Saccharomyces cerevisiae S288C: one gene and its partners. Changing the gene in region 3 together with the main gene of any one other region gives a genetic interaction. Each region holds a gene or a part of one and is shown on either strand. Other genes may lie near its edges. The genes, in order: SEC27, CHS5, VPS21 and PMR1.

What was found.
Region 1: mutations in VPS21 (region 3) and SEC27 together harm fitness more than expected from each alone (negative genetic interaction), as found in Saccharomyces cerevisiae (3 studies listed by BioGRID).
Region 2: mutations in VPS21 (region 3) and CHS5 together harm fitness more than expected from each alone (negative genetic interaction), as found in Saccharomyces cerevisiae (3 studies listed by BioGRID, with this or other methods).
Region 4: mutations in VPS21 (region 3) and PMR1 together harm fitness more than expected from each alone (negative genetic interaction), as found in Saccharomyces cerevisiae (4 studies listed by BioGRID).

Annotation. Positions count from the first base shown.
Region 1 is NC_001139.9:246,195-255,165, forward strand, and holds SEC27 (coatomer subunit beta'), read left to right. Parts: upstream 1-3,674; coding exon 3,675-3,692; intron 3,693-3,892; coding exon 3,893-6,544; downstream 6,545-8,971. Other genes in the region: FLC3 (putative flavin adenine dinucleotide transporter), read left to right, coding at 1-1,930; YGL138C (uncharacterized protein), read right to left, coding at 2,300-3,337; MRM2 (21S rRNA (uridine2791-2'-O) methyltransferase), read right to left, coding at 6,703-7,665; 60S ribosomal protein uL1 RPL1B, read left to right, coding at 8,447-8,971. UniProt on the Saccharomyces cerevisiae protein: The coatomer is a cytosolic protein complex that binds to dilysine motifs and reversibly associates with Golgi non-clathrin-coated vesicles, which further mediate biosynthetic protein transport from the ER, via the Golgi up to the trans Golgi network.
Region 2 is NC_001144.5:785,724-794,010, forward strand, and holds CHS5 (Chs5p), read left to right. Parts: upstream 1-1,940; coding exon 1,941-3,956; downstream 3,957-8,287. Other genes in the region: nicotinamide-nucleotide adenylyltransferase NMA1, read left to right, coding at 1-395; REC102 (Rec102p), read left to right, coding at 719-892, 990-1,610; JIP3 (Jip3p), read right to left, coding at 4,946-5,323; MID2 (Mid2p), read left to right, coding at 4,953-6,083. UniProt on the Saccharomyces cerevisiae protein: Component of the CHS5/6 complex which mediates export of specific cargo proteins, including chitin synthase CHS3. Also involved in targeting FUS1 to sites of polarized growth.
Region 3 is NC_001147.6:488,480-494,975, forward strand, and holds VPS21 (Rab family GTPase VPS21), read right to left. Parts: upstream 2,350-6,496; coding exon 1,717-2,349; downstream 1-1,716. Other genes in the region: YVC1 (Yvc1p), read left to right, coding at 1-1,255; type 2C protein phosphatase PTC5, read right to left, coding at 2,644-4,362; translation machinery-associated protein TMA46, read left to right, coding at 4,954-5,991.
Region 4 is NC_001139.9:185,019-194,120, forward strand, and holds PMR1 (Ca(2+)/Mn(2+)-transporting P-type ATPase PMR1), read right to left. Parts: upstream 5,451-9,102; coding exon 2,598-5,450; downstream 1-2,597. Other genes in the region: SPO74 (Spo74p), read right to left, coding at 1-376; SUA5 (threonylcarbamoyladenylate synthase), read left to right, coding at 1,041-2,321; HUR1 (Hur1p), read left to right, coding at 2,446-2,778; CUP2 (Cup2p), read left to right, coding at 6,111-6,788; YRB30 (Yrb30p), read right to left, coding at 6,960-8,282; DNA-dependent ATPase RAD54, read right to left, coding at 8,689-9,102. UniProt on the Saccharomyces cerevisiae protein: This magnesium-dependent enzyme catalyzes the hydrolysis of ATP coupled with the transport of calcium. Has a role in the secretory pathway.

The DNA of each region.
Region 1 (8,971 bases), on a different chromosome or scaffold from region 3:
CTTCTCAAACGGTAAAACAGTTTCTCAGATTGGTGTAAAATGGGCAACTGCAGTGGTAGCGGGAATTGGTCTTTTACTATCTGCCATCTTATCCACTTTTGGGAACTCTACCGCAGCCTCACATATTTCTGCCAACACAATGTCACTTTTCTTATACTTCCAATCTGTTGTCGTGGTTGCCATGCAACATGTTCATCGAGTTCCGCCTATTGCAGCCGCCTGGGCGGAAAACTTGGTTTGGTCAATGGGGTTAATTAGAATCTCATTCATGCAAAGGATTTTCCGGTGGTATGTGCAATCCACTGGTGGTACGCCTAGCTTATATCTGACTTCAACATCTATGTCTGTTTTGGCTCAAAGAAGTTGGCAATATTTGATGGAGCTCCCATTAATCAAAAGAGCTACCAATGTTTTGTATGGTAATGCAAATACATTAATTTTTAGAGGAATCAAAAGGCTAGGCTATAAAATGGGAATCGAAAATACGTCCATCGTTTGTACCGGTTTTACTTTCTTCGTCTTATGTGGATATGTGTTGGCTGGATTTATCATAGTATTCAAATGCTGTGTGGAGTTAGCCACCCGGTTAGGATGGATCCAAAAGGCAAGGTTTTGGGAATTCAGGAAACAATGGAGAATGATCTTAAAAGGTGCTCTTTTAAGATATATTTACATCGGTTTCGTTCAGTTAACAATTCTCAGTTTTTGGGAATTTACTGAAAGAGATTCACCTGCTGTTATCGTCATCGCATGCCTTTTTATTCTTTTGTCATGTGGGTTAATGCTTTGGGCTGCATGGAGGACTGTTTTTTTCGCAAGAAGATCTGTTGCATTGTACAACAACCCAGCAGCCTTATTGTATGGAGATGAATATGTCTTACACAAATACGGATTTTTCTATACAATGTTCAATGCCAATCATTACTGGTGGAACATTGTTCTTTTATCCTACATTTTTGTAAAATCATTATTGGTTGGATTTGCTCAGGCTTCTGGTCAAACACAAGTTCTTTTCATGTTCATATTGGATTTGTTTTACTTCGTTGCTATTATCTACTATAAGCCCTATCTGGACCGTCCAACAAACATAATGAATATTTTAATTGCTACTGTTACTGTAGTTAATTCCTTTCTATTCATGTTTTTTTCGGACTTGTTTAACCAAAGCTACAAAGTGGCTGCTATTATGGGATGGATATTTTTCATTATGAACGCTGCATTTTCGTTCATTTTACTAATGATGATATTGGCATTCGCTGGTATGATGCTTTTCTCAAAGAACCCCGATCTAAGATTTAAACCTGCTAAGGACGATAGAACTTCTTTCCAAAGGAACACTATGAAACCAGAAGGTACTGTTAATAGATCAGTAGCGAACGAGTTGCTTGCGTTGGGCAATGTGGCAAAAGACCATGACGACAATTCAGATTACGAATCAAATGATACTGGTGTGAATGATGAGCTAAAGCAAGCACAGGATGAAACCACTCCCACAACCGTAACATCAAGTGATGATAACAAGCCTACGTTTTCAGAGAAAATATTAAGTAAATTCTCTAGGCCTAAGAATGAAAACGCAAGCACAGATGCTCTGAGAGTTGAAGCTCCAAAACAACAAACGTTTCCTCACAACTTAACGAATCTTTCACGAGAAAACCTATCAACATTAGGCTCTAAACCTTATCCAGGACACACAAGATCACAGTCTGATGCGCATAATGGACTGATCAATTCCTTTGAAGAGGAAGATACAAGTTCAAATACCGATCCATTTCACGACTCCACTGAAGGAGACCTTTTAGATACCTCAAGTTCGGACGGAGGATTTAGGTCGCAAAACTATGTTCGAGATGACAGCATAAATAGTTTGGGAAACAATAAACAACCACTGAGGAAACCCCCTGGATTCTTCGATGAAGGATTTATGTGAGTCTTTACGATATACAAAAGTTCTGCTCCTATCATAAAAATTTTTAATTTTACAGGTTTTTCTCATTCTCCTTCTAACCTTCTAAATTCTGTTTTTGTCAGAAGTTTCCCAAGTTTTCTTTTTCATTAATAACGTTAAAACACTTTGTACCAGTTTGCTTAATATGAATTTTTTTAAAATAGATAGCTTTTGTTATCTTTGTTTCTATGTTGTAATATCCCAGTTTGTCATATTTTTAATACTCCTCGTGTAACAACAAATTAAAAAAAAATAAATACTTAAATTAATCAAGTTAAATAAACTAATCGAATCAAACAAACAATTTATTATAAAATTATGTTTTTTCATGAATAGGAATGTGTAAGTTGTTCAGTTCTTAAGAGGTATCTTATTTTTTAACATCTTTGAGATCTTCCTCCTCAAATATTTCCTTCTTGTAATATTTCCACTATTAGAGTTTCTATTATGTGCGGCTATCGCTCTTATTAGTGCATCATGAGGCCTTTCTATGTTTTGCGCAATCCGATTTATTGTACGGTCTAGTTTTTCATGAAAATTCGGGACATTTTCATTCCCAGAGCTATCATATTGCTCCATAGGATTTATTTCGTTTATCCAAGACATTTCTTTGTTTTTAAACTTTCTTAAGTTTTTATAGCTCTTCCAAAACTCCGAAGTTAAGGATTTATATTCCAATTCGTTTGATATGTTCTTATCTGAATGGATGAGCATCTCATATTTGGACATAGGAATACTTAACGAATGTAGATAAGGTACCACCTTGGTGATTCTTCCTTTAATTGACCAAGATATTTTGTAATCTCTAATATCATCAGAAATAATAGGCGTTAATGGAATAGTTTCAAAATTGTTCTGAGTGGGGGGATGCGTCTTTGAAGAATTGCAAACAAATACGAATCCAACAAATTTATTAGGAAAGTAAAGGGTTACATTACGCTGTGTATATTTCTGCACCCTTGCAAACTTGAAACATACTGAGCTGTTTTGGGAGATAGTATCATCCTCCTGGGCTGGAATGCATAGTGGTTCTGCCCAATCTAAATCCTTTTGAAAGGGTAGAATATGATTCCAAATTGGCTTTCCTCCTTTACAAAAGGTCACTTGAAGAAAATTATTGATTTGCAAGGGCGCTACCTGGTATTCATATTGTTTTTCAATTACAAAGCCTGTGTACAAAGTACTTTGTTTTTTGTATTGTTCGTACTCCTGCTTCAAGTTCTGTAACTTGTCACCTTTAAGAACATTTAAGAAGAACTCTGTCTGGAAATTTTGGTCTTCGAACTTACACACATCATGTCCAGGAAATGAACTTTTTCCTTGAACGAAAGTGCTCTTAAATAAGGTGTACGTTATAAAAAAGAAGAAAAATTCTAAAAAGTTGTACATTCATCCGAGGAGCACTTTGGATATTATAATCTATTTTTAGTTTTGTTGCTTTGTATTGAGCTGTATAAAAATCATTAGATCCACATTACTAATTATTGAATATGGACAATAATATCAAATATATTATTATCAAATTGATTATTTTGTGACGCGGCGTCAAATTTTAATCGCGTCTGACGAATGAGCGGGTAATAAACTGTCTTTTTTTCATGAATGAATCGAGCTGGCATTAGGAACATGTCGTGTAAGATTTGGGAGTAAATAACAGAAAGCTGCAATAAATGGTAGCTTGTAATGGTGAATTAAGACACCCAATCGAAACAATTATACGGACACGATGAAGTTGGATATAAAGGTATGTTACCAGAGCGCGTTTTGCCAATGCAATTGCGAACAAGCTCCGACAACTCCTATGATTAGGAAATGATCTCGTTCGCGAAGAATACAAAGCCTGCAAAAAGCAAACATTAAGATTAGTTACTAACAGGAAGATTTTTGAAATAAATGCATTTGCTCTTGGCATTTCCTTTATTTGACACTGTACATTTATGATAGAAAACTTTTAGTAATAGATCCGATCGAGTTAAAGGTATCGATTTCCATCCTACTGAGCCATGGGTTTTGACTACCTTGTACTCTGGTCGTGTTGAGCTTTGGAATTACGAAACACAAGTTGAAGTTAGATCCATCCAAGTTACGGAAACTCCTGTTAGAGCAGGTAAATTCATTGCAAGAAAGAATTGGATAATTGTTGGGAGTGATGATTTCAGGATCAGAGTCTTCAACTACAATACAGGTGAAAAAGTTGTTGATTTCGAAGCTCATCCAGACTATATCCGTTCCATTGCTGTACATCCAACAAAGCCTTATGTTTTATCCGGCAGTGATGATTTGACAGTCAAACTATGGAATTGGGAAAATAACTGGGCCTTAGAACAAACTTTTGAAGGTCACGAACACTTTGTCATGTGCGTCGCATTCAATCCAAAGGATCCTAGTACGTTTGCATCTGGGTGTTTGGACCGAACCGTTAAAGTTTGGTCATTGGGACAATCGACACCAAATTTCACGTTAACCACAGGACAAGAAAGAGGTGTGAATTATGTTGATTATTACCCGCTACCTGACAAGCCTTATATGATTACTGCGTCGGACGACTTAACCATCAAAATTTGGGATTACCAAACGAAGTCATGTGTAGCCACTCTAGAAGGTCACATGTCCAATGTTTCTTTTGCTGTTTTCCATCCAACTTTACCCATTATAATTTCTGGTTCCGAAGATGGCACTTTAAAGATATGGAATTCTTCCACTTACAAGGTAGAAAAGACTTTAAACGTTGGTTTAGAAAGAAGTTGGTGTATCGCTACCCATCCAACAGGACGTAAAAACTACATTGCATCCGGGTTTGATAATGGGTTTACCGTACTTTCCTTGGGAAATGATGAACCAACTTTATCACTTGACCCTGTCGGTAAGCTAGTATGGTCAGGTGGCAAAAATGCCGCAGCTTCAGACATTTTCACTGCCGTCATAAGAGGTAACGAAGAAGTTGAACAAGATGAACCATTATCTTTACAAACTAAGGAGCTGGGTTCCGTTGATGTTTTCCCTCAATCTTTAGCCCATTCTCCAAATGGTAGGTTTGTTACAGTTGTTGGGGATGGTGAATACGTTATTTATACGGCGTTGGCTTGGAGAAACAAAGCCTTCGGTAAATGTCAAGACTTTGTTTGGGGCCCCGACTCCAATAGTTATGCTTTAATTGATGAAACTGGGCAAATTAAATACTACAAAAACTTTAAAGAAGTCACATCATGGTCTGTCCCAATGCATTCTGCTATTGATAGATTATTTTCAGGTGCCTTGTTGGGTGTGAAGTCTGATGGCTTCGTCTATTTCTTCGATTGGGACAACGGTACGCTAGTTAGAAGAATTGATGTTAATGCTAAGGATGTCATTTGGTCCGATAACGGTGAGCTGGTGATGATTGTCAACACCAATAGTAATGGTGATGAAGCAAGTGGTTACACATTATTATTCAACAAGGATGCTTACCTTGAAGCAGCAAATAATGGCAATATCGACGATTCAGAAGGTGTTGATGAGGCTTTTGACGTATTGTATGAACTAAGTGAATCCATTACATCAGGCAAATGGGTTGGTGATGTCTTTATCTTTACCACAGCAACTAACAGGCTGAACTACTTCGTAGGTGGAAAGACTTATAATTTAGCCCATTACACAAAGGAAATGTATCTATTGGGCTATCTAGCACGTGATAATAAAGTATATTTAGCTGACAGAGAGGTCCATGTTTATGGTTACGAAATATCTCTAGAGGTGCTGGAGTTCCAAACATTGACTTTAAGAGGGGAAATTGAAGAAGCCATTGAAAATGTACTCCCAAATGTTGAGGGTAAGGACTCTTTAACAAAAATTGCTAGATTTCTGGAAGGTCAAGAGTATTATGAAGAAGCACTGAATATTTCCCCTGATCAAGATCAAAAATTTGAGCTAGCCTTAAAAGTCGGCCAACTTACGCTTGCTCGCGATTTGTTGACAGATGAAAGCGCCGAAATGAAATGGAGAGCCTTGGGTGATGCTTCCTTACAAAGGTTCAATTTTAAACTTGCTGTTGAAGCTTTCACAAATGCACATGATCTAGAATCTTTATTTCTATTGCACTCATCTTTTAATAACAAGGAGGGGTTGGTCACTTTAGCTAAAGATGCTGAAAGGGCCGGTAAATTCAATTTGGCTTTTAATGCATATTGGATCGCTGGCGATATACAAGGCGCTAAAGATCTTTTAATCAAGTCTCAAAGGTTTTCCGAAGCCGCTTTCCTTGGATCAACATACGGTTTAGGAGATGATGCAGTCAACGATATTGTTACAAAATGGAAGGAAAATTTGATACTCAACGGTAAGAATACTGTATCAGAAAGAGTTTGTGGGGCCGAAGGTTTACCAGGCTCTTCGAGTTCAGGAGATGCCCAACCACTCATTGACTTAGATTCCACTCCAGCCCCAGAACAAGCTGACGAAAACAAAGAAGCTGAAGTTGAGGACAGCGAGTTTAAAGAATCCAACTCAGAGGCAGTTGAAGCCGAAAAAAAAGAAGAGGAAGCTCCCCAGCAACAACAATCAGAACAACAGCCGGAGCAAGGAGAGGCAGTGCCGGAGCCTGTGGAAGAAGAGAGTTAACCACCTCATAGAAAGACAAATAAAGAACTAATCAACGAATGAGAAAACATCTTTAATGGATGGTAAACATATATATATACAGATGTACACTTTTTATTTTTATTGCGATAGGTGTGAAAATGAACGTGACTTGAAACTTTGCGCGCAAACAAATCATATTATGAATTACTAAACACGTCCAGTTTATCTACATTTCTTTTCTTCTTTAATCCGATATAATAGGTCTCCTTTGATTCGTCTCTAGAAGCGTCAGGCTTGAACTTATGAACGTTAGTGAAAACTGCCTGCATTCTTTTTTTAAATAGGTTTTCTTCTTCGCCGGTGTATAGTTTACAAACAAACGAACCTAATGGCCGTAATAAATCTATAGCCGTAACTAAGGCTGCGTCACATAAATCAATAGATTGGTAATGGTCTCTTATACTGACACCAGATGTATTAGCCATCCTAAAATAAGCTTGATTAGTAATGTTGTTCCAAAAACCGGTTGTTTGGGGCCAGGGTTCATACATATCACTTATAATCACATCAACTGGGAATTTTTCTCGTTCTATTAGGGTACTATTCGTATTCGGAGTTTCATAAATGTCATCAGAGGTGAAAATTTCACGGTACAATTCAGTATCTTTCACATGGGTTAGCTCCTCCTCGAGCATGTTCTGGAAATAGCCATGGTCCTTATGCAAATCATCGTGTCTGTTCAATTGGAAATGCTTAGAAAAAAAGAGCCGTATAAGATCATGAGTTCTTTTGGCCAATATATTAGCTTGAATAGAGTTCACACCATGCGGAGGTTCACAAGGGAGAATGTCAACGCCCAGTATCATTGAATTAGGTGAACTTCTTTGCCGTGCTACTTGGGACCAAGCCCCAGGGGCATACCCAAGATCTAGAATTCTCTGATCGGTCCTGTTTTTGCTAAAAAGCCGATATTTATCATCAATCTGCATAAGCTTGAATGCGGCTCTAGACCTCAGATTTTGGACCTTGGCCTCTTTTGTGTAGGGATCCTTCAGTTGTCTATTCAGCCATCTGTTTTGTGAGTTAGAATTATACCGTACATGTATTCGACCTAAAGAAGACGATATTATACTCCTGATACGATTGTACACTAAAATCATGCTGTAATTTTCCCGTCAGTATGTGTAGTCATTACTTCAAACCTCGGATAAGCCCATCTTGATGGCTACGACTTCCATCTATATCAGAGGCTGACATTTTTCTCTCATTGACGGAGACGCCCTTTAACCGGACCTGATCATTTTTAAAAGAACGCCAGTAAAAGAGATCTTACAAATACCAGAGAAACGGTATTGAACCTTCTTCTTTGATTAGAACAAATTACTTGATCTTCTTTTTTAAAAAAGAACTGAAAAATCAAAAACGATACATGAAGATGGTATGTAAGTTAGCTAAATAACTTGCTTAATTTCAAGAAAGGGGACTGTAAAAAATTCAGTTTACTCTACCATTATCTCCATTAACATATCAACTTTTAGATCGCAATGAAGAAGACTGCGTTCATAAACCTTACCTCATAAGGCCAAACAGCTATCAGCTTTTGGCAAAAGTTGAATACGGACATTTTTGAACCCATACATCTTTCAATATGCACGGGTGCAACCTCAAATATTTAAAGTTTTTTTTTCCTGAAACTTTTTTTTCGCACACAATAATGCCATAGACATCTTTTGGCCTCAGATTGGAAAGTCCGAGGAAGAAAGACGCAATCAATGGGAAGAGTGTTGTATTTGGATTAAGATATGTAAGTACATCTTCGCAGCACTTCTTGAGCATTACGTTATTTGGTAACCTCTTGAAGTTTCAGGAAAGACTCCATAGAACTAGTCGCAAGCCTCACGGACCACCAAATACTTTGGAAGACTAATTACATATCATAAAATGTCTAAGATCACCTCTTCTCAAGTCAGAGAACACGTCAAGGAATTGTTGAAGTATTCCAACGAAACCAAGAAGAGAAACTTCTTGGAAACCGTCGAACTACAAGTCGGTTTGAAGAACTATGACCCTCAAAGAGACAAGCGTTTCTCTGGTTCTTTGAAGTTGCCAAACTGTCCAAGACCAAACATGTCCATCTGTATCTTCGGTGATGCTTTCGATGTTGACAGAGCTAAGTCTTGCGGTGTTGACGCTATGTCCGTCGATGACTTGAAGAAGTTGAACAAGAACAAGAAGTTAATCAAGAAGTTGTCTAAGAAGTACAACGCTTTCATTGCTTCCGAAGTTTTGATCAAGCAAGTTCCAAGACTATTGGGTCCTCAATTGTCCAAGGCTGGTAAGTTCCCAACCCCAGTTTCTCACAACGATGACTTGTACGGTAAGGTCACTGATGTCAGATCTACCATCAAGTTCCAATTGAAGAAGGTCTTGTGTTTGGCTGTTGCCGTTGGTAACGTTGAAATGGAA
Region 2 (8,287 bases), on a different chromosome or scaffold from region 3:
TAGCTACTGTTACTGGAGAAAAAATTGGTGTGAAAATAATGTTGCTGGCTGGTGGTGACCTAATAGAGTCAATGGGTGAACCAAACGTTTGGGCGGACGCCGATTTACATCACATTCTCGGTAATTACGGTTGTTTGATTGTCGAACGTACTGGTTCTGATGTAAGGTCTTTTTTGTTATCCCATGATATTATGTATGAACATAGAAGGAATATTCTTATCATCAAGCAACTCATCTATAATGATATTTCTTCCACGAAAGTTCGTCTATTTATCAGACGCGCCATGTCTGTACAATATTTGTTACCTAATTCGGTCATCAGGTATATCCAAGAACATAGACTATATGTGGACCAAACCGAACCTGTTAAGCAAGTTCTTGGAAACAAAGAATGATTTGCCGTCCGGAATTGCTTCGTTCTTTCTTTCATCTTTCTCTTTACAATTTCCAATTTTCCCCTACAGGAATTAATTGGAGGGTACAAGCGAGTAGAAATGTGACATATGACTTACCTATCTGTGTTTTAGTATAGTTTTTTTTTCTGTAGTATAATTCACTTTTACACTAATTTTTTCGCCTTTTTCTCTTAAAGAGCTAATTTCTATAACCTTCAGCGGTTATACCAAATATAAAAAATGGAAGGAAAACAAACAGTAAGAAATAAGCGCAACAGCACGTTAGTTCACCATTGGATTCCAACATTTCAAAATTTAATCTAATGGCAAGAGATATCACATTTTTGACCGTATTTTTAGAAAGTTGTGGCGCTGTAAATAATGATGAGGCAGGAAAATTGTTATCTGCTTGGACTTCAACCGTACGCATTGAGGGACCGGAATCAACCGACTCTAATTCATTATATATTCCACTGCTACCACCTGGAATGTTGAAAGTATGTTTCTCCTAGCAAAATTAAAACCCATCCGTGAATGAAGCGTTACTAACTATAATAACTGGTAGCTTTGTCACTCGTACCAGGAAAAGTGAAGATTAAACTGAATTTTAAAATGAACGATCGATTAGTTACGGAAGAGCAAGAGTTGTTTACAAAATTGCGCGAGATTGTAGGTTCAAGTATTCGCTTTTGGGAGGAACAACTGTTTTATCAAGTTCAAGATGTAAGCACCATAGAAAACCACGTCATTCTCAGTTTAAAATGTACAATTTTAACGGATGCTCAGATAAGTACGTTCATAAGCAAACCCAGAGAGCTTCATACGCATGCCAAAGGATATCCTGAAATCTATTACCTTTCCGAGTTATCAACAACTGTCAATTTTTTTTCTAAAGAGGGAAACTATGTCGAAATAAGCCAGGTTATTCCTCATTTTAATGAATATTTTTCCTCTTTAATAGTGTCTCAATTGGAATTTGAATACCCGATGGTCTTCTCCATGATTTCAAGGCTCCGATTGAAGTGGCAACAAAGTTCGCTCGCTCCGATATCCTACGCCCTAACGAGCAATTCAGTACTTCTTCCAATAATGCTTAACATGATTGCCCAAGACAAATCTTCAACAACCGCGTATCAAATTCTGTGTCGAAGAAGAGGTCCTCCAATTCAGAATTTTCAAATTTTTTCCTTACCGGCTGTAACGTACAATAAGTAGCATGCATAAAATATAATTTAATCAAATACTTTTGGGCAATTAAAATTTTAGTTAACAATAGTTATGCAATGCGCTTTATGTTCATATGATACCGTTTATAAGCTATTGCCATATCCTTATCTTATTGCTTCCAGTAGCCTCGAGTCGACCACTAAAAAGATGTCACTTAAGACGGAAATTATGTAGCTGCACTTCTTTTTTAACAAGTTCGGTCGGCCCTTCAAGTTCTCCTTTCTAAAGCCTCATTATTTATTGCGTAGATGCTAAATGTTATCGCGGTTTAGCTTGCATGTTACGTTTCCGTTTTAGAACCTGGTCGAGTAGCGAATAATGTCTTCAGTTGATGTACTGTTAACAGTAGGTAAGTTGGATGCCTCATTGGCGTTACTGACTACTCAGGATCATCATGTTATTGAGTTTCCTACAGTATTATTACCAGAAAATGTTAAAGCTGGATCTATCATAAAAATGCAAGTTTCACAAAATTTAGAGGAGGAAAAAAAACAAAGGAATCATTTTAAGAGTATACAAGCCAAAATTTTGGAGAAGTATGGTACCCATAAACCGGAGAGCCCAGTTTTGAAAATTGTTAACGTTACGCAAACGAGCTGTGTTCTAGCATGGGATCCATTGAAACTTGGCTCAGCAAAATTGAAATCACTGATCCTTTATAGGAAGGGAATACGTTCAATGGTAATTCCAAATCCATTCAAAGTGACTACCACGAAAATATCCGGTCTTTCCGTTGATACGCCATACGAATTTCAATTGAAACTGATAACCACGTCAGGAACATTATGGTCTGAAAAGGTTATATTGCGTACACATAAGATGACTGACATGTCTGGTATCACTGTATGTTTGGGTCCATTGGATCCATTGAAAGAAATTTCAGACTTACAGATATCCCAATGTTTGTCTCACATCGGGGCGAGACCTTTACAACGTCATGTTGCGATAGATACTACGCATTTTGTCTGTAACGATCTAGACAATGAAGAAAGCAATGAAGAGCTTATAAGGGCAAAACATAACAACATACCAATTGTCAGACCGGAATGGGTGAGAGCTTGTGAGGTTGAGAAAAGAATCGTTGGTGTTAGAGGATTTTACTTAGATGCAGATCAAAGTATACTGAAAAACTACACATTCCCACCAGTTAATGAGGAAGAACTTTCGTACTCAAAGGAGAATGAGCCGGTAGCCGAAGTAGCGGATGAAAATAAGATGCCCGAGGACACAACAGATGTCGAACAGGTTGCATCACCTAATGACAATGAGAGTAATCCTTCAGAAGCTAAGGAACAAGGAGAAAAGAGTGGACATGAAACTGCCCCAGTAAGTCCTGTAGAAGATCCATTGCATGCTTCGACGGCTTTGGAGAATGAAACCACCATCGAAACCGTCAACCCCTCCGTAAGAAGTTTGAAAAGCGAACCTGTTGGTACTCCCAATATAGAGGAAAACAAAGCGGACTCTTCCGCAGAAGCCGTGGTAGAAGAACCGAATGAAGCTGTGGCTGAAAGTTCTCCAAATGAAGAAGCAACGGGACAGAAAAGTGAGGATACCGATACACATTCTAACGAACAAGCTGATAATGGATTTGTACAGACTGAAGAAGTAGCTGAAAACAACATAACCACAGAAAGTGCAGGGGAAAATAACGAACCTGCAGATGATGCAGCAATGGAATTTGGACGTCCAGAAGCTGAAATTGAAACTCCAGAAGTAAATGAGTCTATAGAAGATGCCAATGAACCTGCGGAGGATTCCAATGAACCTGTGGAGGATTCCAACAAACCTGTGAAGGATTCCAACAAACCTGTGGAGGATTCCAACAAACCTGTGGAGGATTCCAACAAACCTGTGGAGGATTCCAACAAACCTGTGGAGGATGCCAATGAACCTGTGGAAGATACCAGTGAACCTGTGGAGGATGCCGGTGAACCCGTACAAGAAACCAACGAGTTTACTACCGACATTGCCTCTCCAAGACATCAAGAAGAAGATATAGAACTTGAAGCCGAACCTAAAGATGCTACCGAAAGTGTTGCAGTCGAGCCATCCAATGAAGATGTAAAACCAGAAGAAAAAGGTTCAGAGGCAGAAGACGATATCAACAACGTTTCCAAGGAGGCTGCCTCTGGTGAGAGTACTACCCACCAAAAAACTGAGGCCTCTGCTTCTCTTGAAAGCAGTGCCGTCACGGAAGAACAAGAGACAACGGAAGCCGAAGTAAATACAGATGACGTTTTGTCCACTAAAGAAGCTAAAAAAAATACTGGCAACAGCAACAGTAATAAGAAGAAGAATAAGAAGAATAAGAAGAAAGGGAAAAAGAAATGATTAATGGATGCCTTCAATGAGTTCCACGACGCACGTTTATTTTTTCGACTGAGAATCCCTCAGCAAATATAATCTATTTTTTATATATCTGTGTATATGTAAGCATGTATAACTAGTTACAAATATGATAACTGCTTTGGCGATCACTTCATTTTCTTGAGAGGGGTACTCAGTAGCCGCCAAGCACGAAATGTCCGTTATTAAAAATTGGGGAGTGAATCTTAAAAGCCCGAAAAGGAAATTCAAAATCTGTCTATTTATAGGCCGTCGCGCTCTACGAAAACGCGAAATTATTCAAACGGAAAACGGAAAAAAATCTAAAAAAAGAAATTAATTGAGAGATCTCACGGAAATGCCGCGAGGAATGTTTCTCGAGGCTGAGCGGCGTGGTCTGTGCAAAAAAATGGCAATTTTTTTGTAGGAGTTTGCATTGGGCCATTCAGAAGGAGCACCGTTAGATGGGATGGTAAATGAATTTGCTGTTTCAGATTTGAATCAATCTTTACCCGTTATTTTTGCCGTTTTGCTTTCATAATCTGCAAATTAACAAAGTCATAAAGAACATAAAGACATCACCCCAGTTTTTACACTCTTTTTTCCTGTGTTTGGTTTAGCACAACTTTCCAATAACCAAGTTGGTTTCAGATCATCCCCATATTATTTTCTAGTTTCATTTACTTACCAAACTCACCATTCAAGGCTTTCAAATTAAGTTACGAGTACAGTGGACCATTTTTTTCTGATTCTTCATATTTTCCGTTATAAGTCTTATAAGGAAGGTATACATTTATATTGCGAATTTGAAAAATAATTTAAAGCTGACTTTGCGTTTTAGGTAGGCTAGAAAAGAATACAACTATCCCTAAACACATTCTAGATTCACGAAGACGCCTCTGCCTCAAAGACATACTATATTTTTACTCTCGTTGAACAAATAGTACCATTATTTCGCTACTTTCGTTGAAGATTGGACATATAAAATACGCAAATCATAGTATGTTGTCTTTCACAACCAAGAATAGTTTCCGCTTATTACTTTTAATACTGTCATGCATATCGACGATACGCGCACAATTTTTCGTGCAATCATCATCTTCGAATTCTTCAGCAGTATCTACTGCACGTTCTTCCGTAAGTAGAGTTAGTTCTTCAAGTTCCATTTTGTCATCCAGTATGGTTTCTTCCTCAAGTGCTGACTCATCTTCCCTTACTTCATCGACATCAAGTAGGTCCCTCGTGTCACATACGAGTTCGTCTACCAGCATTGCCTCCATATCGTTCACATCATTCAGTTTCTCATCAGATTCAAGCACCAGCAGCTCTTCCTCTGCTTCTTCAGATTCTTCATCCTCCTCATCCTTTTCCATCTCTTCGACATCCGCAACTTCTGAATCATCGACGTCTTCTACGCAAACGTCAACATCATCTTCATCCTCACTGTCGTCAACGCCGTCCTCTTCATCATCCCCATCAACAATCACTTCTGCACCTTCAACCTCCTCCACACCATCCACTACTGCCTATAATCAAGGAAGCACTATCACCAGTATTATTAACGGTAAGACGATTCTCTCAAATCATTATACTACCGTTACGTACACACCATCAGCAACCGCTGATTCAAGCAATAAATCCAAAAGTTCGGGTCTTTCTAAAAAAAATAGAAACATCGTCATTGGTTGTGTGGTTGGTATTGGTGTACCACTGATTCTGGTGATACTGGCTTTAATTTACATGTTTTGTATCCAATCATCAAGGACGGACTTTATTGACTCAGATGGTAAGGTCGTTACGGCATATAGAGCTAACAAATTTACGAAATGGTGGTATATGCTTTTGGGTAAGAAAGTTAGTGATGAATACCACTCCGATTCACCATTAGGTGGTAGTGCATCGTCCGCAGGTGGTTTAGACCTAGATGAAGCAGATGATGTGATGGAGCAAAGCTCCCTTTTCGACGTCAGAATAAGAGATAGCGATAGCGTATTACCAAACGCCAACACCGCCGACCATAATAATACCAATAGCGGTGGAGAGCCTATAAATAGTAGCGTTGCGTCAAATGACATAATAGAAGAAAAATTCTATGATGAACAAGGTAACGAATTATCACCACGAAATTATTAATCATATCCATTCATATCATTTAGTGCTTATGGCTACTTTTCATTCCTCAATTATTGTAAATTGACCATCTTAATTATATTTCTGATATTGAGTAGGTGGACTTCATTAGTATTTTTACAAATATTATCACCTTCTTATGTAGGATTAGCATTACATACCCTCTAATTAAAAAAAGTTAACATTAATTACATTTTAAAAAAAATTGTAATAGTATGATAGTAGGACCTGACAGCCATTTGAATAAGGTTTCGAGTGCTTTAACGTTCCACTGATTTTATGTAGTTCATATGGGGGTTAGTCTGGTTTGAGGAGGAGAATTTCAGGGAAGCAGTGGCCGTTGAATCTCCCTGTAGGGCGCTGATTATTTTTATCCTAATAATCCAAAAATGACAATGTCAATAAAGAAAACTTACCGAGTTCTGTGAATTTCTCCCTAAAAAATTACTAATTATACCTGGGCGAGTTTTGAACTCTTTGGCAAATAAACTTGGGGTAAACCTTTCGATTATAAAGACGTTACTGCTCAAAAATGTGTAGAAGCATAAGGAGATATTCTCTCGTATGTTTAATTGGAGTTGGCTTTTTTGGACTCTGAAGTTTGAGTATGGGAGGGGAAGTAATCGAGATTAGATTCCCTGATGTTCACATATGGGGATAAAGAATGCTTTTTGGGATATGATTGTTTCTTTCCGTCGTTACGGTTGTAGGTGCAACGAATTGCGTAAGGGTGGCTAGCCGAGATTTAATGACGACGCAAAAGGGAATAACTGTGACAGGAAGATGAATTCACAAAGTTTATAAAAAGAAAGGGCGATGCACTGCTACATGGTTGAACAAGGCACTACATAATTCACAGCTTGTAGCTTGTAAATAAAAAGAGCATTCACGCGATATACGATTTTCAATGATCACTCTAAGAGGAACGGCGAAAAATAGAATTCAATATGAACTGGAATGGCAATTATGATCAGTTAAATATACAATATTGTTGTTGCAATTGTATTACATTTAAATAAGAGCATGTATGTGATAAATTACTGGGAATTTATGGTATAGGTTCCAAAACGCCACCGCCCAAAACATTGTTATTAATGAAATAAGAATCAACGATCTTCTCAATCATTTTTATTTAATGGGTATTGAAATGAAAGGATTGATAATGTAATAGGAAGATGATTGACCCAGAAATTATCTCAAAATTCGCCTATTTCTCAGTTATATTAACCTGCTTATTTTAACTTTAAAAAAAATTGGAAAGTTTGCATTCTACGTTTTAGCTTTTCCGTATAAAAATTAGATAATTTGACGTTCAGTATAAAAAACGTATCGTAATAGGTTTGCTTATTGGAACGTTAAGGAAAAAAATAATAAAGAATTCATTTTTTTCCTTTTTAACCCACCTCTTTCAATCCACCTATACAACTCATTATTAGTAGAGTATTATTCTACCGTTTTATACAGATCATATCGTGTCTTTTGCTATGCTAGGTTGAAACAAGGTAAGATACGTTAAACGACAACGGCTATGTTGCAGGCGAATCGCTAGCGATTATTTAAAAGATCGTAAACTATAACTGAGAAAATAAAGAGACGTAATCCAAAGTACTAGCAACACTCAACATATATAATTGTCAATACTTTAGGAAGCTACTATTTAAGATCAGGTACGTAGAAGCAGACGAACAGATTCGAGTTTCGATCTCCTTTCTGTATTGTATTGGTTAGGTTACATCTCGGTGGAAGGCTGTCGTATCTCAGAATGAGATACGTCAGTATGACAATACATCATCCTAAAAGTTCATAAAACACACATGAAACAACCTTATAAGAAAACGAACAGAGTGAGTAACATGAGATAAAACTCCGCCTTCCTTGGCTGACCCACCCAAACATATAAATGCCTGAACAATTAATTTGGATCCGAGGTTCCGCGCTTCCACCATTTAGTATGAATCATATTTATGTAGTATATAGGATAAGTAACATTTCGTAAATCAAGCTGATAATCCATTTTGACAACTGGTCACTTCCTCAAGACTGCTTATATTAGGATTGTCAAACCACCTTACTATGAATTGCGTTTTGACACAGGAAACGCTAATGTAATATAATCCGTGATAGTTTAATGGTCAGAATGGGCGCTTGTCGCGTGCCAGATCGGGGTTCAATTCCCCGTCGCGGAGATTTTTCATTTTTTTTTTTTT
Region 3 (6,496 bases):
GGACTCTGAGAGAGTCCAATCTTTCGATTTGTTAGAAAGCATATTTTATGTTTTCAATACTGGTTTCATCTTGGATGAGCTCACTAAGCTTTATTATATTGGTTATGCGCACCTATCGTTTTGGAATTTATTTAATGATACCACATATTTGATAATCACGTTTGCTATGGGGTTCCGTGCAATGAGCGTAACGCCCCTTAATGCAAAATACTCTTCAGAAGATTGGGATAAAATATCATATAGAGTCTTATCCTGTGCAGCACCATTTGTGTGGTCGAGACTCCTACTATACCTTGAATCACAAAGGTTTATTGGGATTATGTTGGTTATCCTAAAACATATGATGAAAGAATCCATTGTATTTTTCTTCCTTCTATTCTTAATAATGATAGGATTCACTCAAGGTTTCTTAGGTTTGGATTCCGCAGATGGTAAGAGAGATATCACCGGACCCATCCTGGGTAATTTAACAATCACCGTTTTGGGTCTTGGTAGTTTTGATGTTTTCGAAGAATTCGCTCCCCCATATGCGGCAATACTGTATTATGGTTACTATTTTATTGTTTCGGTTATCCTTTTGAATATATTAATTGCTTTGTATTCGACTGCGTACCAAAAAGTTATTGACAATGCAGATGACGAGTACATGGCTTTGATGTCACAAAAGACGTTGAGATACATTAGAGCACCTGATGAAGATGTCTATGTTTCTCCATTGAACTTAATTGAAGTGTTCATGACACCTATCTTTCGTATTCTTCCACCGAAGCGTGCTAAAGATTTGAGCTATACTGTAATGACAATAGTGTACAGCCCATTTTTGTTGCTTATTTCTGTTAAAGAAACTCGGGAGGCTAGAAGGATAAAATATAACAGGATGAAAAGGTTAAACGATGATGCCAATGAATATGATACTCCATGGGATTTGACAGATGGCTACTTGGATGATGATGACGGTTTGTTTTCTGATAACCGAAATTCTGGCATGAGAGCCACCCAGTTAAAGAATTCCCGTTCGCTAAAACTGCAAAGAACAGCAGAGCAGGAAGATGTCCATTTTAAAGTCCCTAAGAAGTGGTATAAAAACGTTAAAAAATGCAGTCCCTCCTTCGAACAGTATGATAACGATGACACTGAAGATGATGCTGGTGAAGATAAAGATGAAGTCAAAGAGCTCACTAAGAAAGTGGAAAACTTGACAGCTGTAATTACCGATCTACTCGAAAAATTAGACATAAAGGATAAGAAAGAGTAAACGACATGTGTTCAAATACTGCTTAATTAATTTCTCAGAAATCCATATATATATATATATATTGCTCCTCATTGCAACTTTGTAAATTTAATGTTCCTTTAATTTATCATTATTTACAATATTAACTAATCCATCTCCCGATTTTCGGCATAAAATAAGTTTATATTTTGGTCTACATGAAAACAAAAGTTTAACTAAACTAACGTGTACAAACCACTTTGAAACGTATATAAAGGTCTAATAAAAACGACTGGCGTTTTGAAAGATAATATAATGATCTAATGCAGTTAAAAAATTTACAAATTATAAGAAGAAAAGAAAAACAACGATTACGGTAAAAAATGAAAACTCCCTCTCCTTTCTAGGTACGATAAATTATGACTTTCATCTTTCCCGTTTTGAAGATCTATTTATCTCAATTTGCCCAGACTTTTTTTTTATATATATTTATTTTCCCCTCTCTAACAACTGCAAGCACTGTTTGCGCTGGTCCCATCATTAGCAGCGTTCAAATCCACTCTTTGATTGTTCGACTCACGTTCGTTACTTGCACTATTTTGCTCTTCAGCCGTCTTCAGTGGTATCTTTTCACCGATTCCCAAAAATACATCGTTAACATTCTCTCCTGTCTTTGCACTTGTTTCAAAGAACAACAAGCCCTTTTCTTCCGCTAGCTTTTCACCTTCTTCCCTTGCGACTTTTCTTTCCCCACCTTCTTGCAGCATATCGATCTTGTTACCAACTAACGCAATGATGATATCCTTTGATGCCTGTTCATGTAATTCCTTAACCCAGTGGCGCGCTTTAATAAAGGATTGTGGTTTTGTAACGTCGTATACTACAAGAGCAGCTTGTGCGTTTCTATAGTACATAGGTGCTAAAGATGCAAATCTCTCTTGCCCAGCAGTGTCCCATATTTCAAACTTAACAGTATGTTCATTTATAGTAACTCTTTGAGTGAGGAATGCTGCACCAATGGTGGGCTCCTTATTTTCGGCAAAATCATTAGATACAAACCTTAGGACTATTGACGATTTACCAACTGCTGCCTCACCCAACAGTACCAACTTTATGGAAGTGACTGATGTGTTCATTTTTTTGTGTGATAAAAGGGATATTTTTTTATAGCTTAGATAAGTCGACGATCTTGCTTTTTATTTTTAAAATCGTTGCCACTTTTATAAGATAAGCTGCTCGTATTTTCACCTCACTTCTCTTTCTTTGTCTTTTCGGGGATATTGTTTTAGCAAAAAGCCCCATAATGCAAACCGAGAAAACCAAAAAAAAAAAAAACACGTATGAGGTGACAAGAAACTAGATAATCAGCAGACTAATATCTATAAAATAAATCCTCTGGTATATACCTACCTCAGCATAAGTTTATATCGTCATAATCTAGGTTTTGGCTTTGTTGTTGCCTCCGGGTTCATAACTATTGAAGTAGCATTGGAGACAATTGAGGGTGTTCCAGAATCACCAAAGAACGCCACTGTTACTGTCAAGTCATCTCTGTATCTTCTACTCATCGGCGATGGTATACTTACCAATGCCGATACATATTCTTTTCTTCCGCCCGCACTTAATGCATTTCTAATTAAATGAGTGGCGACGTTTTTGTCTTCAATAAGATACTCTGGGTTTGATCCTGATGGTGAGCTCGAATTATTATCCTTGTACCTGAATGCCGGTCTTTGTGCTTCCTTGTCTTCAGATACATCGATAACTTTTGGTAATTTCCCCGGTTCTGCCTTCACAGGTGCCAGATTCATATTTTTATCCATCCACCTGATAACCAAGGAAGCAATTTCTTCATTAGTTAGTAATTCGAATAAACCATCCGAACCCATCACCATAAATTTAGTGTTCTCACCAATTTTGGCAGAAGTAATCACTGGTTCCGCAGTGACATATGGGGGTGTCTTGAAATCCCTTGGCTCTCTTCTAAAATAAAGTTTGGCAACTTCAGGCAAATCCGATAATGGTTTTCCATCGACTTCTTTGATCTTGTAGCGATAGTCTCCAAATGCCCTGGATGGTTGTAATGAACCCAATATTCTTCCGTTTCTTATAACGTTTGGTTCTCCTGGATGTTCTTTCCTAATTCTCCGTACTTCATCCAAATTATCACCGGTCTGGTCGGTGGATAGCGACTTTACCGTCCAATTGCCCTCGTTGTCCAAACCACAAATTAAAGCCCTTGAGTCTCCAGTGACAGCCACTTTCAAAATTGAGTTAGTGGAGTTGTATAAACTTAATAGTGCACAAGAACCAGAAATCGCTGGTAAAGTGTTTGCAATATTTGTGTTGTTTGGATCTTGAAACAGCTTCCTGAACGATTCGATTACAAGATCATTATCTAGTTTCAAAAAACCTTTCGAAATTGCAGAATCGATTAATTGGTTGGGGTCGGAATGGAAAACCGTTTTGTTCTGGTCATATACCTGACCTAATTGATACGCTACATAACGGACTAGATCTTTAGATAATTTTTCCGAAGTGAAAGGACCACCATGTCCATCAAAAATTCCAAAAAAATACAAATCCTTCTCTATGGACTTGCCATCCTCACTTTCTATCGGAATGGTAATGATTTGTTCTACGTGATCGTCTTCTATTGGATGGTTAGAGGGCAACTGTGCCACATCATACCTGAATATACCAGTGCCACGGTTAACAAAATGGCTTTCCTCTCTATCATGTAGTTTAGCCTCTATTTTAGAATCGTTCAAGATAAGAACAGATTGGTCATTCTGAGACCGTTGACTCTTTTGTGTCTCTGTTCCTTTTGGATTAGGTGACGGCATGTTAATGTTACCACTAGTATTTGTAGAATAATCTTTTATTCCGTTAATTGTATCAAGGGAGAGGATCTTTTTAGGGGAATAGTAGGAGTAGGTCAACAGTAGGGACCCGCTTAGTAGAGCAATGTTTAGAGCTTTAGAATGTGATGATATGAATAGCTTTGTCCTTGAATAGTATGTGCTGTTGGCATGTGATGTTGAATATGCACGTTGGAGAAACTTCTGTGTGTATTCTCTACCAGATTGACATTTAGATAGAACCTTAACCGTTTTCTTTATAGCTACGGTTCTAGTTAAGGGAGACATGGAGAGATTGAGAGAAGTAAAAGCACTTCTTCTGTTGAAAAATTTCAGTAGAGCACAAATTCAATTAAAGTAGCAATAGATGTTTCTTTTCCTGCCTATCACACGATTTCGTTTACCCTCCAATCGATCCTTTTTTTCTTTTTTGTATCTTGTGTAGAAAGAAGTGAATCCTGTTTTTCTACATAATGAAGGGCCGGTAACTGCTCATTACTGAGTTTTAAAGTAGAAAATAAAAATGTATGCAATTGGTCGCCAATACCTGATAACTAAGAATGTAACTATGCAAGGGATAAGGAAATTTAGTCAATGCTGCCCATCACACCCTGAACAGCACAAGATTGCAACCTCTGAGAGTATTTCTTAAGTTGGAGACTAGTGGAGGAAATGAATTGGCACGTAGCTCGTCGAACATGATGAACTGTGATGATAATGAAAAAATTTTTGTTCCCCAGCGATGAGTTAGTGAAAATCGACAATATATCTTTTTTTAATCAATGTGTTTTACTATTTCTAGAAAGCAAGGGAAGCCACTCTATTAGTAAACCTCTGGGCTTTACACATATAAAATCGCAGGAAAGTTATATTTCGAAGATGCCACCAAAAAAGGGAAAACAGGCCCAAGCGGCTGGTAAGAAGAAGGATAATGTCGACAAGACGTTCGGTATGAAGAACAAGAACCGTTCTACCAAAGTCCAAAAATACATCAAACAAGTGCAATCACAATCCGACCCCAAGAAAGAAGAGATGAGGTTAAAGAAACTCGAAGAAAAAAAGCGCAGAGAAGCCGAAGAAGCTGAACGAAGAGCACTATTCAACCCTGTAGCAGACCAAAGGGTTCGTGCGGGTGTAGATCCCAAGTCCATGGTTTGTGCTCTGTTCAAACTGGGGAATTGTAACAAAGGTGCCAAATGTAAGTTCTCACATGACTTGAACGTCGGTAGAAGAATGGAAAAGAAAGATTTATACCAAGATACAAGAAGTGAAAAGGAAAATGACACAATGGACAACTGGGATGAAGAAAAGCTGAGAAAAGTTATCCTGTCGAAGCACGGTAACCCAAAGACCACCACCGACAAAGTATGCAAATACTTCATCGAGGCCGTGGAAAACGGTAAATACGGTTGGTTTTGGATTTGTCCTAACGGAGGTGACAAATGTATGTACAGACACTCCCTACCAGAGGGCTTTGTGCTGAAAACCAACGAGCAAAAGAGGCTCGAGAGGGAGTCGCTCGAGAAACAGCCAAAAATTACGCTGGAGGAGTTTATCGAAACAGAAAGAGGGAAACTAGACAAATCCAAGCTAACACCAATAACAATTGCCAACTTCGCCCAATGGAAGAAGGACCACGTCATCGCAAAGATTAACGCTGAAAAGAAGTTATCTAGTAAGAGGAAACCTACTGGTAGAGAAATCATTCTTAAGATGAGCGCCGAAAACAAGTCATTTGAGACGGACAACGCCGACATGCCAGACGACGTCACCCAGGGATCCGCATGGGATCTTACTGAATTCACAGATGCCTTGAAGAAGGCTGACCACCAAGACGACGGCGGCATCAAGGACTACGGTGACGGTAGCAACCCCACCTTCGACATCAAAAAAGCCAACTCCGCCACGCTCGCATAGTCTAAAATTCATATAGACTAAACTGTATATATGCCACCGTATATATAATACACGCACACACACCAACACAAAGCATGTCACGTCATGTAGCTGATCACGCAGCACGACCGCGGCCCATGCTTATCTGCCGTCTTTTTGCCCCTTTCGATATCCCACGCCCCACGCCCCCACGTTGTTGAGGTGTTTTTTCACCTCGGATCCGCCCGACAATATCTGGGATTAAAAGTGCTCGAGTTTTGCTCTCTATTTCACAATCGGTGATAGTTGAGCTTCCTTTCACTGCATCTCTTTGCAGCCTCGGGGGATGAGGCTATATACTTAGAGGGCCTGAATATATGTTTGACGCATCCCTCCTTCGTACGCTACCATCTGTTACTCTTGCACCGTTATTATATGCTTGTAATTTTTGTTATATAATAGGCCTTTCATTGTTTTTAATATAGACTTTCATCATAGGGCATCCGGAATTTCTTCTCAGAAGCCTCGCAATTTTTCTTTATATTAG
Region 4 (9,102 bases), on a different chromosome or scaffold from region 3:
AATGAAAGGGCTGCATGTGTTTAGTTTTGTAACCTTCTGTATTACACCAAAAACTTTCCCAATTTTTAAATTGACACTCTTTCAAGCTTGGACTAGAGTCCGGAGCCAGTTTTAAGCCATCATTAAAATCGTCCGTGTGTTCAGATCTTTCGTGTATATCTTTATTTTCATGGAATATGTTGCTTGCAGTCCCCATTTTAGATGACTTTTCTTCATCTTTTTGGGACTTCTGTTTTACTGGACTATTTCTTTTACTTTCCTTACTAGTATTGCCATCTTCTTGAGAATCCATGTTAGGATACGCAGGCAAATCTGAATGGATGTTATTTGGAAAGTTTTCCTTTTCTAATCCATTTAAAAGAGTGCCAGCTCCCATCACTCAACCAATTCAGCTCTTTCCTTGCCAATACAACATAACCGGGAAGAGTTTCAAGTTTGACTTCCAACTAAATACCTAATGTTTTATTGTTGTTATTTATATTTCTTGTGACACAAAAGAGAACATTGATGTCATTTGAGCCTTATCGTTGGAAAGGATAAATAAGCGGTTTAAAAGGATAAAAGAAGCGCAAGCAACAAATCTCAACACAAGTGTAAACCATATGAATGGGGTTAAATGCCTTCTTCTTTGAGATATAAAAAGGAAGTAGAATTTAATATATTAGACATTTTTTTGATTTGAGCCTAAAAAAGATAGCCCTGTAGGGGGCTCGAACCCCTAACCTTATGATTAAGAGTCATACGCGCTACCGATTGCGCCAACAAGGCTATTTCGTTGAAAAATTCAGGCTTCAAAATTATTATATGTATCAAAAATATTTTTTTGAGAAATTTCAAATCATTATCTACGCTAGCCTTACTATTTTTTCACCCAGAAGATAGTAACCTCATCGCACATACCTATTGAAGCTGATAATATTTGAAGCGAGAGCTTTATTCTTCTCCTCAAATTTTTTTTTTCTTCTGCGCTGTTAACTTACCACTAAACCTGTTTCCATTTTTAATGGTAGTCCTGTTTATTATTCCATTTTTAGAATTGTATGTACCTTGGACGACATTTTTTGGCAATGACATCGAAAGCACTGTTTGATACCAAGATCTTAAAAGTTAACCCGCTATCAATCATTTTCTCCCCTGATGCGCATATAGATGGTTCCTTACCAACGATAACAGATCCTGAAACGGAAGCAGCGCTAGTTGAAGCGGCGAGGATAATAAGAGATACAGATGAGACTGTGGCTTTTCCAACCGAAACTGTTTATGGTCTTGGAGGTTCTGCTTTAAATGATAATTCAGTGCTTAGTATATACAGGGCCAAAAATAGGCCTAGTGACAATCCTTTGATTACACATGTTTCATCCATTGATCAACTTAACAGAAAGGTCTTTAATCAACCGCATCTATCAGGTACATCCTTGTTTGATAACATACCCTCAATCTATCGCCCATTAATTTCAAGCCTTTGGCCTGGCCCATTAACAATTCTTTTGCCAGTTCCATCTTCAGAGCATAGTGCATTATCAAAGTTAACGACCGCAGATCAGCCTACGTTTGCGGTACGCATACCCGCTAATCCAGTGGCTAGAGCACTGATTGCCCTGAGCGATACACCAATAGCTGCTCCTTCAGCGAATGCGTCTACTAGGCCATCTCCTACTTTAGCGTCTCATGTTTATCATGATCTAAAGGATAAAATTCCCATAATTCTTGATGGCGGAGCGTGCAAGGTTGGTGTAGAAAGTACTGTTGTTGATGGGTTATGTAATCCTCCTACGCTACTGCGACCTGGCGGTTTTACATATGAAGAAATTGTTAAATTGGGTGGTGAAGCTTGGTCTCTTTGTAAAGTTGAGAATAAGAAAACAGTTGAAAAGGGCGAAAAGGTAAGAACGCCTGGTATGAAGTATAGACACTATTCCCCTTCAGCTAAAGTTGTTTTACTAGTTCCTCATTGCGAAGGCGATGGCATTCTTAAGGGCGTTGATAGGATGGAAAGATTAAAGAGGTTAATCGAAACGGAATTAAAAGCCAACAGTAATATAAAAAAAATTGCGATTTTAACTTCCCTAAAATTACGTGATTCCGACTTACAATCTAAGATCTTTAATGAACCCGATTTTTCTTCGAAAACTTTCATCATCGAAAGACTTGGCCAATCTGGTGAAGAAATACAGACTAACTTGTTTGCAGCTTTAAGAAAAGTGGATGAAAATGATAAAGTAGACCTAATATTTGTCGAAGGTATAAATGAGGAAGGAGAAGGATTAGCTGTTATGAACAGATTGCGAAAGGCGGCTGCAAATAATTGTATACAGTTTTAAATAAAACTGTGATTAACTTTTGAAAATCATAACCACTGATTACGGAGATTTTATATCTAGTCCGGAAAAAGAAGGAAAGAATAAAATTTTATATTGCTTTGTATATACGAAAAGTCGCCCATACATGTTTATCTTAGTATCCGTTGTAAATATATGTACATATATACATCTACATATGTTCCCATTAATTAGTACATTTACCTCAATAGGGTTGGGCGTCCTCATGAAAGATAAAGGGAAGGAAGGAAAAACGATAAAAGCACAAAATGTGACATATCAAACATTTGAGAAATACGTTGAGTCTTCTTCATTCTTTTTCCTCGTCCACAATTTTCTCAATTCATCAACGATGAAAACGCTACTGCTGATGAGCAATAACAATAGTATATCAGAGATACCAAGTTTCTCAGTTTTAAAGATACTTTGGAAAAATGGTATATATATAGCGCACATTTGACCTAACAGAGACAGTCCAACGGCGTAGTTGAACATTTTGTTCGTGAAAAAGCCGATTTCGAAGATTGACTTTGTGTTATGTCTGCAGGCCAAAGCATTAAACATATCAAAAAAAACAAAACAAGTAAATGTCATAGTAGTATCTCTAGCAGTTACTTTACCATCTTCGGCCATCTCTTTAACAAAAATGTAAACTGTCCCAACGATGATACAGGCCGCGGTGGTTAGTAAACGTTTCATTACATCATGGGTCAAAATTTTATCGGTACGTTTTCTTGGAGGTTTTTTCATAACTTCATGATCAACAGGTTCCACACCTAAGGATTGAGCTGGTGGCCCATCCATTAAAATATTTATCCAAAGAATTTGCATTGCGTTCAGTGGATTGGGTAGTTTAAACGCTGTAGATAGTGCAACTAATGATAGTGCGGCAACAGAAGTAGACAATTGAAAAGTCAGGAAATTCTGAATATTATTAAAGATACCTTTACCCTCTTCAATGGCAGTTAAAATAGTACTGAAGTCATCATCAGTTAAGACCATATCTGAGGCTTCTTTGGCTACATCTGTACCAATTCTACCCATAGAAACACCAATATCTGAAAGTTTCAACGCAGGAGCGTCGTTAACACCATCACCAGTCATTGCTACCACATCACCCCTCTTTCTTAATGCACGAACAATGTTTAACTTATGCTCAGGCGTAGCACGAGCAAAAATATTAACGTGGTCGATGACATTGGCCAGTTGATCATCTGACATTTCATCTAATTTATCACCGGATAAAACGGAAAGCTTTGGATCAATAACTGGAATACCAATTTGTTTTGCAATGTTTACTGCGGTATTCTCAGAATCACCAGTGATCATAATAATATGGACACCACCTTGTAGTAATTGTTCGATGGCAAATTTAACGTTCGGTCTTGGTGGGTCATTCATACCGATTAAACCAGTAAAGGTTAAATCTTTGATTAGGTCTTCGGTTAGAGGAGTTGATGAATCAGACAAAGTTAGTTTAGCAAATCCAAAGACACGCAAACCTTCAGATGCCATAGAATTTGCGCACTCATTTATCGTAGCTTTTTGGGCTTCAGTCAACTTTTCAGTTTTTTTACCCTTTGATTTCAAATAACTTGTGGAGTACTCAAGAATTCTTTCAAATGCACCTTTAACATAAACTGTACACTTATTGTCGACAGGGTTGAGAATCTTGGTTGCCATTAATTTTCTTTTCGAGTTAAATGGAAGTTCCTGAACTTTTTGAACGGTGTTTCTGATATCAGGCATTTCAAAGTTTGCCAATTGCTCTAAAAGAGCTACATCAGTAGGATTTCCCAGAAATATGGCATGTTCTTGAGAGAAAGATGCATTATTACAGAGATTACCGATAGTTAGAGTTTCCCTAACGTCTTCAGTCAAATAGTTTTTCAAATTTCCATTAGAATTTTTAGTCTTCTTATTTTTGTCTAATGAGAGGACGTTTAGCTTATTGGACATACTGTCCAAGCACCAAAGTTTAGATACGGTCATGTGGTTTGAGGTTAGTGTACCTGTTTTGTCGGAGCAGATAACGTTGACAGAGCCTAAAGTTTCGACACTTGGTAACCTTCTCACGATGGCTTTACGCTTGGCCATTCTCAGAACACCCAATGCCAAAGTAACAGTGACAATAATTGGTAACCCTTCTGGAATAGCAGCAACCGCTAAGGATACCGATATTTGGAACATTTCTAACCAAGATCTACCTTGTATGATACCAACTAAACAAATCATACCAATAACTATGAAGCTAACCAGTGACAAGTCCTTTCCCAATTTGTCCATTGTTAACTGCAATGGAGTCTTCGGTTTTTCAATATTATTCATCATTTCAAAAACGGCACCAAAGGATGTGTTTGTACCTGTTCCTACGACGATACCCTTACCATGACCTTCCTTGACTAATGTACCCATATAAGCTATACAAGATCTCTCAGAAATCGGTACAATTGAATTAGGCTGATCGTTAAAGGAAGATTTTTCGATCGTTTGTGAGGTTTTATGTACCGGTTCATTTTCACCAGTTAAATTACTTTCATCGATGGATAAATCGATTGCTTCAATAATTCTAATGTCTGCGGGGATTCTGTCACCTATTCTGAAGTGCACTAAATCACCAGGAACCAAGGTGGAAGCCAGTACATGACTCTCTTGACCACATCTCATTAAGTGACATTCAGCAGGAACCAATTTATTCAACGCTTCTAGAGATTTTTCAGACCTATATTCTTGGACAAAACCGACAGTGACAACTATGAAAATGGCCAGTGTGATACTAACAGCATCATCAATGTTACCCATAAAAAGAGAGACCACTGCGGATCCTATTAAAAGTAGAATCATTCGATCCTCAATGAAATTTGACAAGAACTTCTTGAAAAGACTTTCATCATCTTCTACGGTTATTTCATTGGGGCCATAAAGTGATCTCCTATTGTTGGCCTCGTTAGATGATCGTAAACCACCGTTTTTGTCAGTGTCCAGTTTTTCTAGAGCTTCGTCCACGGATAAAGTACAATACTCTAAAGAAGGGCTTGGTTTCGAAAGGGCCTCTGCTGTGGCATCTAGTATTTCTCTCTCACGGTTTGAGTCCTCGTCAAGAAGACTCGCATTAAATGGATTGTCACTCATAATTATCTTATCTTTTACTTACACTTAAGCTTACGTCTGTGCTGGCCTTGCTTCGTCTTGTCTTGCCCAGTCGTAAGGATATTATTATAGTTACTAGTATTGTTATAAATGGGAATGGAAAGAACGGGGCGAGCAAACACTATTATGATGGTGTAGAAAAAGAGGTTTTTCTATTAAGTGCTTGAAGGAAGGGCTATAGTGTACGATGGCCTAGGGAACAAGATCTCGATATAACGATAGGTAGGGTCCACACTGTTAACAAAAAAAGTACTTCTTTAAATAGAGAATCTTGTCTTGATGTAACAAAATGAAAAAAAAAAAAAATGCAACTAGAATGTAGAATACAAAAGTTTAACGATCGGCTTTGCTGTTAAGTGGTTATCTAGGGATGAGCTGAACGTGCAATTGATACCAACCGATCCTTGCTAGGAACGCAACTCTTTTCACCCACCTTCCACCACTACGATCGTGAAAGAATATTTGCTAAGAAAATCGCCAAAACGAGGCGAAGTCGCCAGGGTGCGCGGGCACGCAGGGTAAGAGCCGCAAGGCCTGGTTCGGTAAGTATTAAGCTGTGGACGAAATAGCAGTAGCCATGGCGATGTAATTTATTAGACGGCGGCTTGATAAAAGAGGACTGATAATCAGTGTATTCACAGAATGGTCGTAATTAACGGGGTCAAATATGCCTGTGAAACGTGTATCAGGGGTCACAGGGCGGCGCAGTGTACTCACACTGATGGTCCGCTACAGATGATCAGACGCAAGGGAAGACCATCGACCACATGTGGCCATTGTAAAGAGCTGAGAAGAACCAAGAACTTCAACCCATCCGGTGGGTGCATGTGTGCCTCTGCACGACGGCCAGCTGTTGGCAGCAAGGAAGATGAAACACGATGTCGTTGTGATGAGGGTGAACCTTGTAAATGTCATACCAAGAGGAAAAGCAGCCGGAAATCAAAGGGAGGGTCATGCCACAGAAGGGCAAATGATGAAGCAGCGCATGTCAATGGTCTCGGTATTGCAGATCTGGACGTTCTTTTGGGCCTAAATGGTCGCTCGTCGGATGTAGACATGACAACCACATTGCCGAGTTTGAAGCCACCTCTGCAAAACGGAGAAATTAAGGCCGACAGCATTGACAATCTTGATTTGGCTTCCCTCGATCCGCTTGAGCAAAGCCCTAGTATATCTATGGAACCTGTTAGTATCAATGAAACAGGAAGCGCATATACAACTACGAACACAGCACTAAACGATATTGACATTCCATTCTCCATCAATGAGTTGAACGAGCTATACAAACAAGTATCTTCGCATAACTCACATTCACAATAATGCATCTGGACATCTATATAAATATACATATACATATATTGGCGGTTGTTTGTTCTCCCGGCAAGCTGGCAGTCGGGCCGAGATTCGGATAAATTTTTCCATTCGTATACATATACATAGATATATACAATTATAAAATTTGTCCAAGGCTGCACAGGATACGTAACCATCCTAAAGTTTTAGGTTTTTTAACTTTTTTTCTGTCTCTTCAATTGTCGAATTGCTTATTCTATCCTTTCTGGAGTTCGTATTTTCATCGTTCAAATATATAGATAACCTTTCATCACTCACTTCCAATATACTTTTCTGATCGTTACTTTGTAAGGACGTCAGCCGAATGATGTACTCCAGTAGTGTGATCGACGAATCCTTGTCCTCCAATTTATTTTCTTCTTCTTCTTCTTCCTTTCGTTCTTCTCCGTCTTTTCCTTCCTCTTCGTCCTCCTCTTCATCTTCCTCTTCATCTTCCTCTATCGCTTCATATCCGCTTACCGCATACCAAGTAATGTCATCGAGTAATCCCTTGTCTCCTTCACTGCTCTCATTTTCTTTGTCATCGCTCCGGTCAATCTTCAATACCAACACTGGAGAATCCTGTTCTTCTAATCGGAGAAGCTTACCGGAAACACTGAAAAACAGCTTCTTAATATGGTTCAGATCTATGGCAAGTTCCTGTGGTGTGTCTTCTTTGTCATCATCCTCATGATATCTACCGTCATTGAAGTCTTGTTCTATTTTCATAAAATAATCATACTTTCTGCCTGTAGAGTTCAATCTATATATCCTTGCTTTTGCACGTTTCATATCCTCTTTCCAAACAATTCCTGATTGCCCATTGTTTTCTGAAGTTAGGTTATAGAAAATAGAGAATAGTGTAACCTCAAATGTAGGCCCCACTTGAACTTTTAGAATCTCCTTGTCACCTGTTCCTTTCTCATTACTCTTCATTGCCTTTTCATACTTTCTATTGTTCTCGCTAACGAAATCGGAGGCTTTTAATAATAAACCAGGAGAAAGTTGATATGGGAGTGCGCTGTTCAAGTTGGCACCAGAAGTGGTTAAAGAAAGATTAATGAATGGAGTGATTTCTTCGATCCTCAATAGCAAGTCCTTTATATAGTTTTCTACCGCTTTAATAGCTTCATTCTGTGTTTTTGCGCTCCTGGAACCCTCAACTTTCTGCGTCATTTCGTTGATCTTCTCATCAAACCTATCAATCTCTTCTTTTAAATCCTTGGTTAACCTCAGAGTGATTTGCAAATTCGTGTTTCCCCTCGCCGCTACCAGCTTTATTAGGTCAATTGCACTGGATACAATAGCCATGCGGCTTTCCAGTTTAAATTTCAGTTGATCTATTCTTCTAGCATCATCCTTAGGAATCTGGACGACAAAGTTCGTTATTGTCTTTAGCGCATATGTGGATGCTATCGATATTCCGGATTTTATAGCAAATGTAACGGCTTGTGAACCTGCTTTGGCAAGAATTTCATCCATTCTCTTCAGATATTGGTGTTAGGTAATAGTTAAAGTTAATCCTTCTGAGAGTGTGAAACTGTATCAGATTTTTATTTCCCTGACAGCGTGAGATTTTCTTGCCATAATCTTTTTTGGCAGTTTCGGCTGGCACTTTACCACGATAAAACTGAAGATAATGAAAAATTTAAAAGCTAGCACAAGTATAATATGACATCGCTCAACTTTTTTTACCCTTAAGTTATACGATTATACTTTTTTGATTGAAATACATAGAGATATTTACCAATTTGGCCCCAATTTTCAATTGTTTATTACGTCTAAATATATATAACCATGCCCATCATTTAAAATAAATATGTAATGACCCCCCGACGATCGAATTCTACTTTTTGTTTTTGTTTTATAAGTACATGTATGTAAGAGATCAATGTGAAATATATTGAAATGCAAAACTGATATCATTGTAATGATGCTCGTTTTTTAGTAGATGATCATTTGTTTTTTCCAATGCGTCATGGTTCAAATGATTCCAAGTTGTCGCATCACCATATAACATTGCAGGGGCTCTCTTTAATTGTTTACCCTGAGCATTACAACGTTTACAATGGTATGTTTCGTGTGTTTCACATATCGTATTCTCATTTTTTTGAAACAACTGTCTTAAATTGTCAGAACTAAACAACCTTTCAACGTCTTCTTTCGCATCGACCACGCATGAACTCAAACTCATTTTCATAGATTGTCTTTGAAAGATTTTTTCCTCTATGGTACCAGTCGATATGAATCTGTAAATGAAACAATCCTTTTTTTGACCGTCTCTCCAAACACGTGCCAAAGC